Coturnix japonica: one gene and its partners. The protein of the gene in region 2 purifies or fractionates together with the protein of the main gene of each other region. This does not show direct contact. Links are inferred from orthologs where the notes say so. Each region holds a gene or a part of one and is shown on either strand. Other genes may lie near its edges.

Evidence for each region. Proteins that work in one complex are often made in the same cells at the same time.
Region 1: the proteins of POMK (region 2) and TMEM59 purify together in Homo sapiens (affinity purification with mass spectrometry; 3 studies listed by BioGRID and IntAct, with this or other methods). This does not show direct contact. The link is inferred for Coturnix japonica from reciprocal best matches to the Homo sapiens genes POMK and TMEM59.
Region 3: the proteins of POMK (region 2) and GHITM purify together in Homo sapiens (affinity purification with mass spectrometry; 3 studies listed by BioGRID and IntAct, counting the BioPlex papers as one, with this or other methods). This does not show direct contact. The link is inferred for Coturnix japonica from reciprocal best matches to the Homo sapiens genes POMK and GHITM.
Region 4: the proteins of POMK (region 2) and CANX purify together in Homo sapiens (affinity purification with mass spectrometry; 3 studies listed by BioGRID and IntAct, counting the BioPlex papers as one, with this or other methods). This does not show direct contact. The link is inferred for Coturnix japonica from reciprocal best matches to the Homo sapiens genes POMK and CANX.

The regions. Positions count from the first base shown.
Region 1 is NC_029523.1:22,443,440-22,448,223, forward strand, and holds part of TMEM59 (transmembrane protein 59), read right to left. Parts: intron 4,008-4,784; coding exon 3,902-4,007; intron 2,436-3,901; coding exon 2,341-2,435; intron 2,136-2,340; coding exon 1,983-2,135; intron 1,708-1,982; coding exon 1,623-1,707; intron 1,302-1,622; coding exon 1,217-1,301; intron 403-1,216; coding exon 294-402; intron 1-293.
Region 2 is NC_029519.1:30,139,779-30,145,949, reverse strand, and holds POMK (protein O-mannose kinase), read right to left. Parts: upstream 3,652-6,171; 5' UTR 3,482-3,651; coding exon 3,197-3,481; intron 2,661-3,196; coding exon 1,887-2,660; 3' UTR 890-1,886; downstream 1-889. Other genes in the region: HGSNAT (heparan-alpha-glucosaminide N-acetyltransferase), read left to right, coding at 3,725-3,925, 4,002-4,129, 4,442-4,563, 5,472-5,541. UniProt on the Homo sapiens protein: Protein O-mannose kinase that specifically mediates phosphorylation at the 6-position of an O-mannose of the trisaccharide (N-acetylgalactosamine (GalNAc)-beta-1,3-N-acetylglucosamine (GlcNAc)-beta-1,4-mannose) to generate phosphorylated O-mannosyl trisaccharide (N-acetylgalactosamine-beta-1,3-N-acetylglucosamine-beta-1,4-(phosphate-6-)mannose).
Region 3 is NC_029521.1:2,251,767-2,256,050, reverse strand, and holds part of GHITM (growth hormone-inducible transmembrane protein), read left to right. Parts: intron 1-663; coding exon 664-775; intron 776-1,402; coding exon 1,403-1,544; intron 1,545-2,076; coding exon 2,077-2,185; intron 2,186-2,956; coding exon 2,957-3,145; intron 3,146-3,310; coding exon 3,311-3,482; intron 3,483-4,133; coding exon 4,134-4,221; 3' UTR 4,222-4,284. UniProt on the Homo sapiens protein: Plays an important role in maintenance of mitochondrial morphology and in mediating either calcium or potassium/proton antiport. Mediates proton-dependent calcium efflux from mitochondrion.
Region 4 is NC_029528.1:4,540,531-4,545,964, reverse strand, and holds part of CANX (calnexin), read right to left. Parts: intron 3,680-5,434; 5' UTR 3,677-3,679; coding exon 3,494-3,676; intron 3,037-3,493; coding exon 2,963-3,036; intron 2,578-2,962; coding exon 2,519-2,577; intron 2,177-2,518; coding exon 2,035-2,176; intron 781-2,034; coding exon 699-780; intron 1-698. UniProt on the Homo sapiens protein: Calcium-binding protein that interacts with newly synthesized monoglucosylated glycoproteins in the endoplasmic reticulum. It may act in assisting protein assembly and/or in the retention within the ER of unassembled protein subunits.

The DNA of each region.
Region 1 (4,784 bases), on a different chromosome or scaffold from region 2:
TCATAATAGTTTTACCACCAGAGAAATCAGAAGCAATGTCCATTTGTGAAAAGTAACCCAAAAGTTGCTAAGAGGGCAGAGCTATCAGCCAGAAGACACCATCTGTGCTTACTGAGCAAGGCTCACAGCACCTATCAGCCACAAGGACGGACAGATGTTCAGCTAGAAAATCATTCAAACAAGAATTTGTCTGCTGACCACATCAGCAAAATAAAAAACTCTTTATAATTGATCTCCCTGTTATGTTGATTATTCTGTAGAAAGCTGTAAGGTAAGAATAACATAACAGTTACCTCAGATGGAACATACTGCTCTACAGCTGTCGCTACAGTTGCACAACAAATCCAGAGGAGCACCAACACGGACAGAACAAGCGTAGTGGTTAAAATCCAGCTGGAGTTTCTGAAATGAAAAGAATGTTGCTAGATTTCATATACTGGATACAAAATAATGGGTCTTTAAAAGTTGTGTCCATTTTGACTGCATTTCATGCTCCTTCACTAGTCACTCTCTCTCCCCAGCTGCACAGCCTACTTCTGACAGCTGCTTATACAATATAACATCTAACACTTATTTAGTATCTAATTTGAAAGATTATAAAAAACTTGCTGGGTCCTGGTTTGGGGCCCTGAACTTTCTCCCATTTAAGATCTTGGCAACGGACAGATTTTTGTTATGCACTTAAGGTGCAGTTCACTGATCCCTCACACCTCAGCTTTTAATGAAACAGTCAGTGACTGAGAGAAGAAATAACCTAAATGCTGATATTCAGCAAAGCTTTAATATATACTGGGTATTTCCAGACTAGACCTGAGACACAACAGTGCCCTTTGCATTTGGAAAGAAAAATGTTTTGTCCTGAAACACAACCAGAGCTAAAGAAAGGTAAAACTGGGAACTGATGGTACAGTTTGCTGAATATACTAAAAAATGTGTAAAAAGTTATCAACATCATGTTCCACATAGAAAAAAATAAGAGTAAGAAATTATCAGTATTATAGTTAACTAGAATGGGAAAGAGAATGAAAGCTGGCAGAATAGCCCACAGATAACACAGGGTGAGCATGGAATGCAGCCATAACAAAAGGTTGGATACAACAGTTTAACTGCTCTTCAATCTGAACCGAAAGGACTTGTAAGACTGATGCCTTACAGAAATGCCACCACACATGTAGGACACACCACTATGCCCTGTACCAGGTACTGACATACATACATGGAAAGACACTTGAAAAAGCTGTCGTTTCCTTGCTCTTCAAAAAGTCCTCGGTATGTCTGCGAGCTTCCTGGCTGTGGGTCCGCTGAAATAGAACAGCAGAAGCAGCTGTCAGAAAAGCAATAAAAGACACAAACTTTATCCAGTTTGTCTACAGAGAACACAAAGGGAAGATTTCACAATGGCCCTGGCTTGAAACATTTCTATTTCCAGGAGAGTTGGTTACTACCAACAGACCTTGCTAATGTGCACTGCAAAGAATTGCACTTCAGCTTTCTAAAAATGTGCTTTCATATTTCACCTGCAACTTTGGTTCTGGTTATTGTTTTTCATTGTTTTGGTTTTTTTTTCTTGTATGATATGGAACATTTGCATTTGCTCTTCCAAACCAGAAAGAAGAACTTACAAGCTGTTTTACTCAGGGACAAGGATCCTCTTCTATTTTCAGCTTCCTGATCAAGCTGTGGAACATACTGCACTTCTGGCCTTGACTAAAACAAAACAAGGATGAACAGATCCTGTTAGCAGCCTTCCATTCATCTGATCCTCTACATTTTCAGAATTAATAGGGAAGTCAGTCATAAGACATGCTCCATTCACATAATTTTATTTCTTTTTTTACCCCTGAAATGGCACTAAATGCAGCAAAATGCTACCAAAAGCTGAACACTTCTGACAGTGACCCATAGTCTTTTCTGAGACTGGAAGGAGCACAGATAAGTATTTAGCACCCAGAACATCTTAACCTCAACAAAAAGGCAGGCACCTGGAATATGACAATTTTGCCATCATCTGCTTGAAGGTAGAAAGTCCATGAGGATGTTATGAAGCTCTGAGCTGAATCCATCATGTCACTCCAGAAGGATCTCACCAGTGTCAGAGGAAAGAGGAGATGAATTCTTGGCATCAGGGACATTAGCTGCAAATAAAACATTAGCTGGTTTTCAATCTGTTTTCATTTGAAGAGGACAGAACTTATGTTCATGCTCATTCATCTCCCCATCTGAAATACATGTCTGTATTTCAATTCTTAAAAAGATGTCATTTGAAGAATTTTAAAAAAGGGAAGACACGCTGAACAGAAAACAAGTAGGTGGTATTTGAAAAACATGTCATGTACTTACTTGCTCTTGTCTTAACTCAGCAAATGGCAATTGGTTCTGGCATCCAAGATGGCAAGCATATTGTTCATCAGACTGGGAGTATGCCTCAGTACAGGCTGCAAGAGAAGTGCCCAAAATGAGAAGATAAATTCTGCACTTTAGTTAAGAAAACATTTCCAACATAAGTTGGATCAGAAACAAAGCAGCAGTTAAAGAGATTGACAACCTCATTTGTAGGGAAAGATATGGCAATCATTCCAAGATCAGCATTTGGTGCTGGGCCTAATGAAGGTTAAGGAATTGGAGCTCATACAAATCACATATTTTAAATCTGAATGCTGTCAGAGCAACCGATCACAAACATGAATCTGGGCAAACTCAAGGTTGCAAGTTTTCATTGATTCTCCTACCACCGCTGTATTTTTTTCCTCTACAGATCATGTCAAACATTTTTACTACTTTATCCTAGAGAACAAAGCTGGAATTCTAAACAAGTAGAGAGACCACAGATCTACTAAACCTGTCAGGGGTAATAGTAGAAAGCACGTTATTCCTTAGCAAAACCTACGGAACATTTTCCTGCTAACACAGTAAGTACATTAACTGTGTTGAAAGTATTGATGAATTAATTTTCAACACAAATTAAATGAAGCCAACTCTTCATTTACATGTATCTTCTATCAATTGCTCGCTAGAAACCATGAAGACCAAGAAACCTAAGTTATTCACATTTATACATGGAGAACTCAGGTTACAGATTACAGAACATAAGCCAGCAAAAGACAACAGCCTCAGAAAGGAGAGTTAGATCAGAATGCAAGCAACTGTTCAATTACCTCTACGTGTGCCTTATCGCTACATCACCCTTTTTATGGCACTCTTTCATGTGTGGTTCGACAACTAGATTGACAAGCTGTATCACAGCTATACACAGTGTATGACAGACTAAAGCACTAGCCCATTTCTAGAGCATTTAATATGGCTTTGTACCACATTAACAACTTTGCATTTTAGGCTTTCTCCTTGTGTATCTTCCCGCAGCTCCCTGAGCTAACTACTAGCCCTCTTGTTTTTATGAATTACTAAGAAGACAAAAGCCTCCTCTTAGTGCTGATGTTTTAATTATATTTCAGAAATAGAGGGGAGCTACTCTGCTGGTTTTCCTGCTTTGGGTGGTTACATCCCACTTAATCTCTGAACAAAACTGTTAAGCAGCCACCTTGCTATTATTACATAGAAGTTCTGCATAGCTGCAGAAACTGTGTTAATTGGCGACAGCACATATAGATTTCACCTTCACTATGAGATTATCACTCTAACACAGATCTGAGACAATTAGTCCTGAGTGTTTAGATCCCTATTTCAATGTAGTTTACTGCGTTAAGAGTTTAGCCTAGACCACAAGCTACAAGGCAGACATACATTGTGATACCTGCTCTTCATCTGAATAATTCACTTCTATAAATGAGCCTGAAGTTGCATGGAAGCAATTGAAATAATCCCACCAATTTAACAACATCCTTCAGATGCTGCTGCTGTTCCCTCCACATCAGGGGAAGTTAAAGGAGTTTTGATTTCTTACCAGAATCACATTCCAGTTTGGTTCGATTCAAATCGATGCCATCATCCACAAACTGACAAATGGAAAACAGTCTGCAGCCTCGTTGGCACGCGTACAGCTCCTCTTCCTGGGAAGGCACAAGAGAACACTTACATTCCTCCATTCAAGAATAAATAGACCAAAACAAAGAAACCACCAAAACCCCACAAATTAAGCACTACAGAAAGCCACCCAGTAGAGCACCACCATCCTTCCCCCCACCAGACCCAGAAGTCAGAAAAATAAGACAGCCTGGATCATCTGAAATAAAACACAGCTCCAGTTCTGTAACGCTGTGACGCAGCCCGACCCATTTCAGACAGAGCTCTCAGTCCTGGGGTAAAGCCAGAGCTGGGAGAGCAAATGCCACATTGCAATTCTATTCCTATGGCTCACAGCAAAGCCAGGCTGCATCTCTGACAAAGCACAGAATGGGTGCACAGTCATCCACTTCAGATCATTAAGAGAACCCAATGGGTGAAGATCAAAGCAGACTCTGTTTGTTTGGTTGTTTTTACCCTGTATTACAATGTATCCACCAGTCTCTTATTGGAACTACAGCAGAATCACCAAAATAAATGATTAACTCCTGATTAATTTCTTTAGCAGTACCACGGTCAACTACTTACCTGAAAAACTAGTTACACAAAACCACATTTTTCTTTCACTGCAGGAGAATAATTCTTTCCCAGTGCTACTACAACACTACTAACCTATAACCCAGTATTCCTTCTGAGCACAGCACAGAGGGGTGGAGATGTACTTTCCACACATGGTGGTCTCAATGTTGCAGAGTTACAGCCAGCCTCCTTTAAGTGAATCAGATCCACCAAGCCTGGTAACTAAACAGCCACCTATTGTGACT
Region 2 (6,171 bases):
AGAAAGCTACCAGGAAGAGCTCTGCTGGCTACAACTGCACAGCTGGAAAATGGCAAAATCAGCTAAATTAAGAAAATAGACTGCACACTGGGAAAGGAAAACCATAATGACCAGCTTTGAAAGAACTCCTGCTGGCATTATAAGAAATCAGAGGGGAATTTTGTCATGTGAAGGACAGTCTTCTCATTTATGATAAAGTTTTACAGCAAAAGAACACAGAATCACAGAATCACAGAATGATCCAGGTTGGAAGGGACCTCAAGGATCAACCCCCCTGCCTGGCAGGGCCACCAAACATACACCTTTACTAGATCAGGTTGCCCAGGGCCCCGTCCAACTGGTCTCGAACACCTCCAAGGACGGGGCATCCACAACCTCCCTGGGCAGCCTGTTCCAGGGCCAGAGTTGAACATAAGTAAAAAACCTGCTTTCAGTTCAGTTATAACACGGATTGTTTAGATGAAGTAGACTATCACTGTGGCAACAGAAACAAACTCCTCAGCAGAAAGGACAGTGTACTTCTCTGCCTGCAACTCACCTCTCAAGGCAAGAAGCAAGCTGTCTCAGGCCATTAGGCCTTCCAAAGACCTACTCCATAGCATAGAAAGTCCTCTACTAAAGCTAAAGTCCACATCTCATTTGTAGTATTCCTGTTTGTGTTTTTTTTTATTCACCAAGAGCACAACTAAATCCCAATCTCATCAAGCAGGGCCTGCTCAGAATTAAGGTATCGCTCTACTCTTTCTCCAGCGGTTGGTACCTGTGACAGGCTGTAACATCGTGTTGGTATCAGGAGCTTTCTCCTAAACTCACTGAACAAAGAAGCAGCCTTTTTATTTTTTTTTCTTCTTCTGGTGAATACATTTTGAATTCAGGCCTGACAGAGTTGTTTATTCTGAATGTAAGGCTTTTATTTTCCAACACACAATTTGCTGTCAAAGGAAGTCACGTTCTCTTCCCATTCCCTATTCTTTCTCCTTCCATCCACGCATGATGTTCAGGAAACACAAAAGTGAGTACAAAAGAGATGAACTGAATACAAATAAAAGATACACTTTAGCTATTTTCCAAAGAGCTCACACTTCCTATGGATTAAAAAAGAGCAAGAGGACTCCTGGACCCTCATCTCCAAAGAACCTTGCTGAGAATGCTGTAGGGGCAAATGTTTCAAAACCAAAACCATGCACGTTTAAGCTGTCTCTGTATCATTTGCTTGCCTTCAAAATAACAACATGCTGTTTAGTGGGATATGGGGACCACAAAGCAGTGGTCGCATGGCTCTGAAAGCAGCCCATGGAATCCCCCAATACCCCATTCAGCAGGGAGGCTGGGCAGAGTGGCTGGGAAGGTGGCAGCGGGGCTCACCAAAACCTTCAGAGAACTATAGTCATTTTTGAACGACCGCTGCTTTTACTCCATAGGGAAGCAGGTGAGGACTTTGTGCATAAGACATGGGCCAAAGCCACCAGAATCAGCACAGAGCTTGAGAGGGGCATGTTGTAGCCTCTGTTCCCCAGACCTCTGCCAATTCGTTTAAGTAGGACAGTATTTTTCTTTTTTTTTTTTAACTCTGTCTGTACAAAAATGTTTTGTGTTTGAAAAGGGAATTTTATATAAATGCTGCAAAAGAAAAATTCTGGTCCTCGAGAGATTTCCCCAGTCCTCAAAACATAATTTCTCTCCCTCCTCCTCTTGCACTGACAGATTAAACACAGCAATGGGAAAGATGCACAGCTTCAGCATTGGGTAGATAATTTTTAATCGAAAGGTAAAGTACAAAGTCAGTTACTTTTGTCTTCTCAATTGAGGGAACAGACACTTTGCCCTTCAGGCAAGCTAAATAAATAAGAACACCAACTTCAGCCCACTGTTGGTCCCATGATTTGTTACAACATTTCCCTAGTACTAGGCATGGCTGCCTCCCGAACCAACAGAGTTAGAACTTTCTTGTAGGTGTCTAAGATCTCCTGGGCAGATGGCCTTTGGGCTGGGTCCTTCCTCTTACATGCCGCATGGATATCAAACAAGTGCAGTCGCACAATGTCACTGCCTTCAACGTGGCCCAAGAAAAAATTGGAGACATCCGGGATTTTCCAGATGTCTGTTTTTTCATCGTATGGGGGCATGAGGTCATCATCAAACGGCACGTCCTCTCCATAGGGCCAACGCTGCTCAGGAGCTACAAACTCACCCCAGAGCTCCCGATGCCCACACTTGACCAGCCTGCCGGCGCTCCTGTTCACCAGGGGCAAAGCGTCCAAATCATTCACCAGGATGTGAAAGTCACTCGTTAGAAGATACTGAGAGAGCACCTTGTCCAGGTCGTTGGAATCGCACATCACTAAGGTGCCCAGAGGGCTGTTGTGCAGGTAGCGAATGATGCTCACGTAGTCTATAGCGAGCAGCAGCCTTCGATGCCAAGTGTTCATGCTCTTGTACTTGGGGAGGTGCAGAGTTTCATTCAGACCCCTCAAGGAACCTAGAGGATGGTACTCAGTGAGGATTGTGAACTGCTGCTCGCAGTAGCCGAGCAGTCGGACAACGTGCTTGCTCTGTAGTGCTTTCAGCATCTTCAGTCCGTGGAGAAAGTCTTCCTTCAGCTCTGGGTTGGTGAGCTGTGAAATGACCACTTTGTTTTCCTTCCACTCAGAAAGAAAGACCTGAGGACACAGAAGAGATGCGTAAGACATGTGGAGAACCTTCCTCCGCTGACTGTTACCATGTGGCATCCAAGCGAATGCTTATTCACAGCCACAAACTACAGTCACCCAGTGCGGTCAGTCTCATGCTGGTGCATGACTGTACAGTGTTATGTCAGCAGCGAAGCCTCTGGGCTTTGCCGTACCTGCTGCACATACATGTTGCAGCAAACCCTTCCTGATTTTGTAATCACAGCGATAGGATGGCTCGTGATTTCCAGAGCTTTCATTGGAACGGCTTCATACCACCCAGCCGGACTTGCTCTGCCACAGTTGCACCATGCGAAGCACTTCGCCCATCCCCGTGGTGCTGTGTGTGTAGCTGGTGTTTGGTGAGACAGGTACAAACATGGCCGTATTTCTCCTGCCTCCTACCTCACTTGTAGCCTAAGACTTTCAGCTGCTCTAAGGGCAGCTATAAAAGCAGCGTGGGCAGCTAAAAACGAAAGCCCTTGGGAGCTGAATCACTGGTGAGAAGAAAGGATAACCAGACTCACCTTTTTCACAGCTCCTTCGCCAACACATTTGAGTTTTCTGACTTCCCTATTGATGGCTTCACAGGAGAGCCATGGGGAGCAGTTTTTCACCGGCCCTAGTCTGAAAGACCCGTAAGGGCAAAGGCTGGGCTCGGCGTCGGCGCGGCCCGAAGAGCCGTGCGTGTTGCCGAGGTACAGGTAGAGCAGGGCGTTCAGCAGCACCGCCACCAGCAGCAGCACCGGCAGCAGCGAAGGCGCCTCCCTGGGAGGAAAGTCTCTGTTCACGAAATGCGCTTTCTTTTCCATCTCCGCTATGGAAGACACGGGGCTGACAGCTCCCTCCGCAGCGCAGGGTTCTAAGGGGCCGTTTCATGGCAGCCCGCACAACCGCCTCCCCGTGCTGCCCAACCGCGCGGCCCGCGCTCCGTGCGGACGGCAGGCCAGGCTCCGAGCAACACTCGGCCCGACGCCCCTGACCGCCGGGACCGGGCCGCGGCGCCGGGCGCGCTTCTGGAGCGGCGCCGCCCCGGGGCGGAGCGCGGCGGAACGATGGCGGCCGCTGTGGCGGCGGCCGTGGCGGTGGCGCTGGGCGCGTTGCTGCTGGCGCAGGGCCGCACGCAGCCGGGCGGAGAGGGGCCCACTGCCGGGCCGCCGCCGCCGCTCAAGATGGACCAGGCCCTTCTAATGGTCCGCAACGAGCCGCCCGTGCAGGGCCTCCGCTTGCTCGCCCGCTCCGCAGCCTGCCACCGGGTGAGCGCGCCGAGCCGGGCGGAGACCGGCCCGCGGCCTGCGGCTCGGTTCGCCTCACCCTCCGCTTCCTCCGCAGTGCTCCTACCAGCTGCTGGCCGACGTCCCGCCGAGCGACGGCGGCCCGAGCGCGGTGGCGGTGGTGGACACCCAGCATCCGCTCAGCCTGCTGCTCAACGGCTCCCAGGCCGGCAGCGAGCTCTGCAAGTAAGTGCCGCCGCCCCGGCTCTCCCGTGTGCTGCTGGGTTTTTGTTTCCCCCGCGCTGCGAATGATGTTGTATCTTTGTCTCCACCTTCACCTCTTTCCTGACCACTGAGACCTAGGGTTCGCCAGGCTCTGGGTTACACTGAGTGGGTCTGGGAGCAGGGGCAGCCTATGACAGGGCCCAGTCTCACATGCAGTGGTGCGAGGAGATGGGTGATGTGAGCTTTGGGAGGGTGATGCTCACCCTGCAGCTCTGTGAGTGATGCCTTGTTATCTACATGGAACAGCAAGTTCTGTCTCCCTTTTCTTTGCAGGATTCAGTATCATTTTGGAGAGTTTGGCAATTACTGCCTAGTGGTAAAGACCCTAAACACAAGTGCCAAAACCATTTCTTGTGACATAGTCGTCAATAAAGGCCCCATCAACAGCTACCTCCGTATGTAATGCTCAGCTTTCCTCTTTCATTCTGCAACATGCATGTCTCAATAAAGCCAGCTACCTGAAATGCCTCTGTAGCTACCTGGGTTGTATTGAAGCATGCAGTGGGTCTGCACGTCTTCTCTCTCAGTATTTTGCCTCCTTACGTTTTACATCCCTGCCTGGAGGCCCTGGCCAAAATCAGGTCTCTTCACTTGAGATGCCCTGTGACCACAACATTTTTGGAGCAGAAATTGGCCTCACAAAAATCAGTGGGCATTTTATCCAGAGGGAGATTTTATCATTCTTGGTTCTTCTTTCCCTCCATGTTTCTGAACACACACAGGACTCTTGTTCTTCCCTCTGTCTTGCTTCTCTTATAAAACAGGAAACAAATCTTAGTATTTGGATTTCTGTTTTGTAGTCTTTGTGCTTTTAATTTTAAGCCCGCTGCCTTCCTTTTTTTGTTCATCTCCTTTCTCAGGTCTTCTTTAAGCTCTCATCTCTTCCATTCCACTCCTTTGCATTAGGCTTTTCTTCAGTCCTTCCAGTTCTCCAGCTATACAGAAAAATCCTTCACTCTTTCAAATGCTGTTACTCTCTCCCTGTACTCATTGAGGCTATCTCTGAGTCTCTAGGTTTTTCATCAGAACATACAGCACATCAACGCTTTCTTCACTATTGCTTCAGTGTGCATTTATTTTGCCTTTTTATGCCAAGATGTGCAGTTACTGATTGCTAGCCTGCTTCACTTTTGTTCTTTCTCTCTGTGGGACTCAGGCTGGGGATACATATTCTGTGGAGAAAGTGGGGTGATGGATGGTGGGATGAGCTGGTTGTCGTGTTTGTATCACGCTTGACCAGACTCCTGCCAATGAGCAGTTTTGCTGTGTAAGATACGGAGTTGTGTTCTTCTCTTCCATGTAGCTATCCTCTTTGCATTCCTGGTTTACTCGGGGATCCTTGCTATCCTGATCATCTGTCGCCTTGTTATGAAGTAAGTGAACAGCATGGTAACACCTCCTCATGCGTGAGATGGGGTCACCCATTTAAAAGTAGCATGGTAGTGCTTTGGAGTTCCTGCTTGCAGGTAACACCCTGCTGCCAGGCTGCCATGTACAAGTCAGGCTGTGGTAGCTGTCCATGCAATGACAAATGCAGGGTGATGTGATTTCTCTTGAGGAACATCTTACAGCTTGCTAGCTTCTATGCAGAGCAGTTGCTGGAGAGCAGCTGACATCAGCCGTAAGCTGATACACACTCTGCTTTACCCTCCCGGGACGCATTCCTGGGAACAGCCTCAAATCATCAGTGCAAATAGTGGGACCTAAGCATCTTCAATAACTATGATATTCTGTCATGTGAGCTGAGTGACTTGAGTCCCTGTCTGTGGACAGCCTGAGAGCAGAGATCCCAAATTTAATCTTGTAGCAGCACTGTCGGGTGAATGGATGTAACTGGGGTCACAGGTACTGGTTGTATATCTGTATCGCATACATAAACTGGAGAAACATGAGTAGGGGCCATCCTAGCTTTTGAGTTATGCTACTAAATAGTTGACATTAAGATGGACTTGGCTATGAAGTAGCCAATTTTTGTTTTGTTTTGTCTTTTAAACTGTTACTAA
Region 3 (4,284 bases), on a different chromosome or scaffold from region 2:
TTCTCTGCTTATCTTTCCTGTGTTCTTACCCTTGTATTTGTTTTGAACTATAGTTCTGAACTGTTACGTCAGTATGAGTTCATATTGATGGAGATTAGTACTTCCTTGATTGCAAATGTTTGAGGGGGGGAAAAAAAAAGCTTGTACTTTGCTGTCTGCTTTGTATGCCGTTGAAAGGGAGTACGGTACAATGTATAAGGACTGGGAAAAAAACCAACTTGATTTTTTTCTAATCTTGGTCAAGCAGGCATTAAGGGTGGAGGACAGGAAAGGGTACGGTATCCACAACTCTTCTGTGGGGGATCTTTTTAACTGGTTTTGTATTGCAGTTCCTATTTGTTTGTGTAATAAAGACCAGTAAAGTCAGCTTTACTGACTTTAGTTAGTAAGTTTAGTAAGTAAGTTTAGTAAGTAAGCTAGTTAGCTTCTTTTTTTAATTCTTATTGTGTTTTGTGAAGCTCTGTGGTGGCAGTGGAGTGAATCTAGAGTGTTTCACATAAAGATCTTCAAGAAACAGTAAGGCAACTTGGGAAGCAAAGCTTGAAGAAGCCTAAGGTGGGGCAGCTGTTACAGATAGGGGAAACTGGTGTCAAAATGTTTTTCTCTATCCAAGAAAAAGCATTTTGTGAATGCATGATTTTTATTTTGTTCCTTTTGGTACAGTTGATCGCCTGGGAAGGCTTGTTGTTGCTGGAGGGGCTGCTGTTGGTTTGGGGGCGCTCTGTTACTATGGCATGGGCATGTCCAGTGAGATTGGAGCTATTGAAAGAGCAGTGTAAGTAAAATTGCTTCTCTAGGTGCTGTCTCCGAAAATACACGTAGATTATGTTTCTTAAGCTCTGGGCAGAAAGCTCTTACTTCTGTGCAGGATTTTAAGCTTCTCATCTGTAGCATGATGAAACCGTACTGCAACAGCTCTCATTCAGGTCTTTTTGCATTACTCGTGCTCTCCAAATGACAGGCGTGTCTTGTTACAGCAGATAAACACAGACAGAGTGACTCAGCATTTTGCGAGCAGCACACTGGGCTTCCTACTGCTGAGGGCACCTTCTGTACCATTTTTCCTTTACCCAGTGTATTGTGCATATGCTGTTTTATAGTTTTCCGTAATTAATGTGCATTTATTTCTCTTTCCCATTTGTACTTTTTGTAACGTGTGCTTACTTCACAGAATTGAACCATAGTAGCATTCTTTATAGTTTTTGCTGTAATTGTTATGTAATGGCTCTGTATAGTGGTAAGGATTTAAAAGTTCAGCCCCTTTGTTATAAGAGCGATGCATGAGAGCAATGGCTAAACAACTAAATGGCTCCCATTGTATCCTTAGCTTTTATATCTTTATAGTTGGTCTTCGTTATGGTGTTGTTAATTGCACAGTTACGTCCAAATGCTTATTTTTCAGTATTTGGCCCCAGTATGTGAAAGACAGAATTCAGTCTACCTACATGTACTTTGCGGGAAGCATTGGCTTGACAGCGCTGTCGGCTGTAGCAGTAAGCAGGTCTCCTGCGCTCATGGGTCTTATGACAAAAGGTTCCTGGCTGGTAAGCTTCTATTTGTTTTAGAGCATCTCTAAAATGATTGTAAATGTTAACAGTTGTTATAAAAAGTACACGACATAAAGTGTGCTGTGAAAAGTAAAGCAAATTATCACTTAAGGACAACTGCAGTAGCATAAGTGCCCTAGTAATAGCTTGCTGTGAATAGCTGCTTGAAGCTAGTGATGTTATTTCTGTCACTTTGTAAACGTCGTAGCAGAGGTTTCTATGCATTTGTTCTCCTTTGCTTGCTGCTCTTTATAACTCTTTGAAAACTCCTTTTTGCTGAGACCAAAGTGATATTGGCAGACCGATATCACCTCATTCAGATGAGATACTAACAGAACATGTCTGCTTCCTGCACGTTCGGTGTGCTGAGTGCGGTGGAATAGTAACGGTTAAATATAGCACAATGTGCAGTGGTTATTCCTTTGTGATAAGAGCAAGTTACCTTCTAGTAGGCTGGAAAAGATCATGTGGGAGAACAGAGACCTTTTGTCCTTACGCCATCTTGAGTTCTGTAATGCTGTTCTTACAGGCTATCGGTGCAACTTTTGCCACCATGATTGGTGCCGGAATGTTGGTCAGGTCCATATCATATGAAAACAGTCCAGCAGCTAAACATCTGGCTTGGATGATGCATTCGGGTACGTGATTATAGTTTTCATTAAGTTGTCTCCTGCTGTAGGACTAAATTCTTACTTGTACTACAATATCAAAGCTTTGTTCATTTTTATGCACTGCTGTTGATCTCGGCACTATGCTCAGTGTTTTTCAGCTGTACTTGATAAGTGTATGAAAACTGATGAAAAAGGTACAGTTTTGGTATTAAACTGCAACTTCTCGATTGTATGTTCTCAACTGAATTGCAGGGTAGAGTACAGATACGTTTCTTATGGATGTTACATACTTGAGTTAACAATGGCTGTCTGTCTTGAGAACTTCGGCCAGAAGCGTGGTTTGGAAAAGAAAAACTCATCAGGAGCTGGAATTACACTTTTCTCTGTAGAGCTCAAGTTTCTACCAAAAAGAAATTAGATTTAACATAGTGATTTGTCATTAGTAGGTAGGGGCTTCATACAGTATTCTAGCAAAAAGCATCACTGATTTCTAGCAAAAAAAAATCTATCTGTTCTGAGTGTTCCAGAAGCTGTGAAGGGGTCGATTAGTTCTTTGTAAGATGAGCTCCCTTAAGTTTTCTCTTAAGCTACAGAAAAAGTAGGTCACCAAACATAAAATCATGCGCCTGTTTAGAAGGTAGCATGATAAATTGAAAACCAAGTGCATTGGTATGCTTTAATGTAAGTGGATTCAAGCCATATTATCTGACTCAAAAATATATGGTTTTGGTAGGTTGTCTTTTTTTTTACACAGACTGTTCCAGACGTTTTGTTTTGTTTCTCTGCTACTTTGGCTAGGTGTCATGGGTGCGGTGGTGGCTCCTCTGGCTTTCTTGGGTGGTCCCTTGCTGATCAGAGCTGCCTGGTATACGGCTGGAATCGTCGGAGGGCTTTCGACTGTGGCCGTGTGCGCTCCGAGTGAAAAATTCCTGAACATGGGAGGACCGCTTGGAATAGGCTTTGGCTTCGTTCTTGCCTCTTCGATTGGTAAAGTACCAATTCATTACTGTTAAATAGAGCGGGCTATAAACTGAAGCTACTAGAATGTGCAGCTGACTTCTCTTTGCAAACTGACCAGTTCAAGTTGGCCTGAAATAACCATTGTCAGACTTGGCAGTAGGTTTATGAATGTTATTGTGTATTCTTTTCCAGGATCCATGTTCTTGCCGCCTACTTCTGCTTTTGGGGCTGGCTTGTATTCCGTAGCTGTTTATGGAGGATTGGTACTCTTCGGCTTGTTCCTGCTCTATGACACGCAGCATGTTATCAAACGCGCAGAGACTATTCCTTATTACGGAGTAATCAAATATGACCCCATCAATGCGTAAGTATTTTGATCCGAATGTACGTGTGACCGTTATGAGCTACTGTATGACTATGCTTTACTCCTGAAGAGCTGTGCTTTTTGTTTACCTTTGGGAAGCATCTTTATATTAAATGGGAACTATCATAGGGTTTAGTAATGTAATGTGAAAATAACCAGCGCAGTTGAAACTGAAAGCATCTGTCTGCAAGGAGGGAAACGGTTTTGAATATGTGGTGTTACGTGCCTTCAGTGATGCTAACTTCGTTAAAGAGAAAAGTTTGTGAAATATTACTAGGAGGATTTGTAGCAGGTATCTGCAAATAACTATCAGTATCGGCCGAGATCAAGCACTCTAAGTGTTCTGTGGTTATGTAGTACTTATTAGTTTCAATCGCTTAAAAAACCCAATAGCTTAAACAAGGCGTTACAGAAAGAATTCCATGAGAGAGCAGTATGATGTCTGCTAAGGGCTTTTGCCGATGGATGCTGCTGGCAAAGATGGTAGAGTGAAATCGTAAGGGGGTGTTTTCACTCATCAAGGGCAGAAGACGTGCCATCGCTATGACAGGCCTTCAATGGAGGCTTTTAAAAAGTCAAGTATAATGGCATGAAGTACCAGTTAATGCTCTTCATGTTCAACAGGGTTAACTGTCCTTTTTTGTCTCCTAGGTGCATGGGCATTTACACAGACACGCTGAACATCTTCATTCGTGTGGCCACCATGCTCGCTGGTGGTGGAAGCGGAAGGAGAAAGTAAATGGAAGTAAACAGAGACTCTTAGCAGCTGTCTGACAGCTCAGACTCTTAGGTTGTCTGCATA
Region 4 (5,434 bases), on a different chromosome or scaffold from region 2:
CTGCAACTTTCTATCAAAGGTAGTGAGGTTCCCAGACTAAAACTTACATCACAATTACAAACTCCTTGAGAGGAGACCAGAATTAGCCTAGCATCCTCATTTTGCACCTTTGGTCTCTACTTTTGAGGTGGGGAAAAAAACTGCTGTACAAGTGTTGTTACCAAGGTAAGTAAATCATTACACAGTGACAATTATGTATTTTTTTAGCAAATCCCTACACTACAAAAATGACTAAAAAGCCACTAATAGAAATATCAGATACTATAAGCCAAATCCAGTGACTTTCTTTCACATACAGAATAAGCATCATTAGAAGTGGAGCTGAGATGTATTTCATTTACACACTTAAGCTGGTATATCCTGCCTCAATTTCAGTCTTAACTGAATATAATCACTGTCAGTCTATTTGCCTTGGCTGATGCTATCTTGAGAGTCAATGCACACACGAAGCTGGCTAGATAGCCAAGTCTTCTGGGTGCCTTTTAAAAATTACATTATACGTAGTCACGTGGCCAAGAAATTTCAGTATTTCTTATCTCCAACTGAAAATACCAGGAAACTGATGAGCCCAAAGTAGTTTGAAGATCAGGCCCTAAATATGCCCCACCGCCTTTACCAAAGTGGTTTCTCTAGAAAGAAAAAAGCTGTGTTGCTTTGTTCCATGGATAACACTCAGTATTAGTATTAGCAGCACTCACCAGGTTCAATTCAGGTGTTTTTGAAAGCAGTTTCACATAGGCCCCACCGCACTCTATTCCATTTTGGAAATTTACTTCATACCTTATTTGGACAGAGAAATGAAGAACACATTATACACAAGCAACATTTACCTTCATAATACATGAATGAATTTATACTTGAAAATTGCAGAGCAATACTATTTTGGTTTTGTTTGTTTCAAATCAAAAGTGAACATTAAAAACACATGCTGCGCTCTAGAGACTAAGCAGATGTTCAAGGGGGCCTGAGAAAAGAAGCAAGGATTTAAAAGACTTAACCTGACAGAAAAGATTAAAAGAATTGAGCATTAGTCTAGAAGATTATGATCCAGAAGTAGAGGGAAGAAAAGGTTTTTCAAGTATGTAAGAGACTGCAATGGAGATTAAGGGGAACAAATTATTTTCCACACAACCATTACAGCAGACAGACAACTCAATTTGCAAGATGACTGAAGTGAGCAGTTGGATCCTAGAAGATCTCCCCTTAGGGTTGCAAGCATACAATAGTATATTTAGAGATGCCAAGGAGTCTGAAAAAGGCAAAGCATGTCGGTCAGGAATAGGCTAAGCATGCTCAAACCTCTCTCAATGCCAGCAGCTGAAGTGAATGACCACTTCAACTTATTTTTAGCCACGCATTTTGAGCCAAAACTAAACAGTAACACAAAGTAAAGTGACCATTTCATTATCTTGTACAAATATGAACTGGATCACTGGCTGTTTATAACTGGTAACATAGGTAATATCCCACAATTCAACTGTTGTCACTGAAAGATTCTTTTCCTGCTTACTAGTCTAACATGCATGCAAGCAGATTCCTCTACATCACTCATGGCCCAACAGAATTAGGCAAGTTGTTCATCTTCCACAACAGATGCACCAGAACAAAGGAAGGCGGAAACAAGTGCACCCTTAACACTCTGCTCACTCCACCTTTGAAACTGGACACTTCACTGAATAAACACAGTGAGAAACATACAGACAAGCTCTTGGTGAAGTGGACATGGACTTTTACAATTAACAGAACAGGCAACAGATTTCTGTGCTAGTGAATGAGAAATTCAAGTCCAGAGACTAATTACCAACTCATAGACTACTTTTTTTGTCAGGCTGCAGTGGGGGCCACTGTGTTCCTAACTTCCCACTTGAGGAATCAAGATTGCTATTTTACTCCTACTCAAATTGTATAATGAGAGGTTACAGTCTATCTTGTGTCATCTAGACCCCCCAGCCAACAAAAGCTCAGTTACAAAATAAACCCAAGCCTACTACCACATCACACCCCTCACAGAACACTAAGTTATCTTTTACTTACTGTATAATAAGGGGCTTGGTATCAAATACAAAAGGCTTTGAAAGCTTGGATGAAATCGCATGATGTTTGGCTCGTGTTACCAACACAAGCCCTTTGTCTCCTGGAAGCTTACTGTCCTTCATGTCTTGGACTTCCCATTTACCTAGACGAAAATTAACAAAGTATTATCAAAACCCATTTGATACAATCTTGTCTTAGCCCAATCCTAAACAAGAAAGTCATCACCATCTTCATACAGGGTGCCTTCAAGTTACTGGGCTTAACATCTTCACTAAAAATTATTTTAAAACCTTTAAGTGGAAATTTTGTTTGAATCTTATCTGAATCAGGATCACACTTTATATTGTTAAGCATGTACACATTCTCCCATTTTCTTCAGTGAACACAATTTCAGGGAGCAAGAAGAACAGACTTGCACCTCTTCTTTATATAAGACAAAATGACATCAGAAACAACTACCAGTCAAAATATGGGTAGGACTCACCATCATACTTAGCAATTTCATCATCTGTATCATCTTTCTTGGCTTTGGAAAGGATCCATCTAGAAAACAAGCATCCAACAGTAAGAAACTCATACTTTTTCATTATGCACACAAAAACCCCTGCTCTTAAAATAGCCTTTGTTGTCCTGTGACTAAACCCCAAGTGTCTCGATCCTGAGCTCTATCCCAAACCTGCCAAGTTCTCAGCTTTATGTAGGATCACTCACTGCCTCAGAATCTGAAGCAAGTACACAAAGTCAGATGAGAAAGATTAAAGCATACATAAAATATGGGCTTCTCTTCCCATTATTACTAGTACCTAAGCAAAAACTGGTTGATCTTGTCACGTGTTGCCTGTTGATTTTCAGTAACAGGCACTAGGAATTCCCTTTCACATAATACTCTGATTTCATCTGTTCAGTTGCCCCCTAATGTTATACTCACCCATCCAGAGTTCCTTTATCAAAGGACTCTACAAAATAGACCTCGCCAGTTGGGACTGGTGCTTTGTAAGTAACCTAGGGGAGAAGAGAGGCATTTATGAACCTTTCAAGGCACATCCTCTAAAGAAGTAGAGGCACATACAGCTCACATCCCACATCCATACCATAAAGCACCTAGAGCATTCTGGCAGCATAAATACAGAAATGTTTACACTGCTGCTTATGCTGAGCCACTGTGCTCTCCTCTGCAACAAGAACTGAAGATTTTGTCTAGCTAGAAACTTTAACATTAATGCCTGATAACTACACCTCAGTTTTCAAATATTCACTGAAGTCTTCGCGAAAGAAGATGCAGGTCAGATGAGAATAGCAAGGAAGCAGCTAAGCTAAATTCCAAACCCTACTCCCTGCTAGTGATCTCTAACAGCATCACTATACATTAAGTTTCAGCAAAGTAAAGTCAACTCTAATCAGACTGACAGTAGCCAAAACACAAGAAGTAATTAAATGTTAAAGAACAACTATGCCAAACCTTTGGAGCTGGAGGAGGAGTGCTGCTTTCAGGATTTGAGTCTTCTACTTCCTCAACACCATCATCCAAGTCATCCTCAATATCAATGACATCATCACCATCATCGTCACCCACATCATGCTCCTGGGCAGCAAGAGTCCCAAGAGCTAGAAGGGTCACAAGCAGCAGCCATTTCATCTCCATTATCTGAATAAATACGAAAAAGAAAGAAGTTAAGCACACACACTAGCAATACACTACTTCTCAGTTGAGAGAATGAGCTTCTCTGGCAGTGGGTGAGGTGTCAAGTCACATCACTGAAAGAGGTACAAACGTAGCTTTCTCTGCTCTACTATTTATTGCTTCTGGCTGGTTAAGACAGGTGAGAAAATGGGAAAGGTATACAACTGAAAGGTGTATTTAATACAAAACAGATGTTAATGCACTGAAGCAGCACACAGACAAGCTCTGCAGTTTGTGCTGGAGTGCCAGTATTGTCCCTCCACTGCCATAGCCCATGAAAAGAGCAGACATGTCTTCAACACAACTTACGTATCTAGAAAAACCGAATGGGAAAATCCACTTCTTGTTTGTGAGAAACTTTGAAGGCAACAGGCTGACACTGGTATTCCTATTCAGTTCATAAATACCAGCTACCTCCTTCAAGCATCTACAAAGCAACCCATCTTCTACCTCAGTTCAGTCATTTTCTTGTTCTCATACACAGGACATCAGTACCTTCATCCATCAGTCCCCTTCCCCACACCTCCTTCTAGACAGATTGCCAGCAGTCACTGATGCTGTTCAGCAGGCATCTATGAGCAGCTGGATACTGAAGCAGACCCAGAAGAAATCCCACTGTTCAACAGGCCGTCAATTTCATCTCTAATTCAACAGGATGATCAAAGAAAAAAAATCTAATACAGAAATCTTATAGAACTAAAACGTCACACCAATTAATTTACGGGATGCCCAGCATGTCATCCTAACTAAAACATAGCAGACCTTGAGAAACTCAAGTTCAAAAGATCTCTGTAAGTAAAATGACATAAAAAGAATGACTCAATCACTGAACCTTTAGGTGGATGTAGAAAGCAAAACTCCTACCAGGCTGCTCATCATTTTATCAGCGCTACAGACAGACATGCGATGCTCACAGCAAGGAGATTTGCTCCTTTCAATTACATTCCAAATATTTTCTTTCCAGAGTTGTAGCTGAGGCTGATTCCTTCTAGAACCAGATTATCAAACTAAACATTCTCCCCTTCCTACACATTCCTGCCCCAGGCTGCAGTCCCACAGATTTACAAACATAACTCAAGGAGAGTGAATAAGGCCTGGAGGGGCGTAAGTTTGAGCTAGAAAACAAATCTACTTTCTAAAGCATGTTCAGGCAACTAAAAGCATTTACAGTCTCAGCAGCTTATCAGCACTATCCATATACCACAACTCCACTGCATGCCAGATGTACCATTCTAAGATTATTCTTTAACTTGCTTCTAATGACAGAGGGGATGTTTTATTACTCCAACTAAACTGCATTTTAGAGACTTGTGTTGAGGTCACGTCCAGTTTGTCACTACAGCAACATGCAGTCACAGCCTGTTCCATAACAATAGCGATGGCCTCGAGGATTATGGTCTCAATCCATGCCCACAGCCCTCCCCTTCACAGCTCAGGCAACTGCACCAAAACAGCACCAAGCCAAAAGGAATCAGCGCACAGCATGAACAGCTGACACAAACTTTTAGTGCTCCTACATATAAGCAATGCCTGCTTTGTTTGGGTTGTTTTTGTTTTGTTTTTTAAATGAACAGAGTACAGTCAGAATGGAGAAGAGTTCCAGGCTGCACAGAGGCACACGGATCTTTACTGCGAATGTGGGAGCCACAATACAAAGCCAAAGAACAAAAGCTGTCAAGGAAACATCAGAATCAACAGAAGCTGAAATTCTCCTGCATA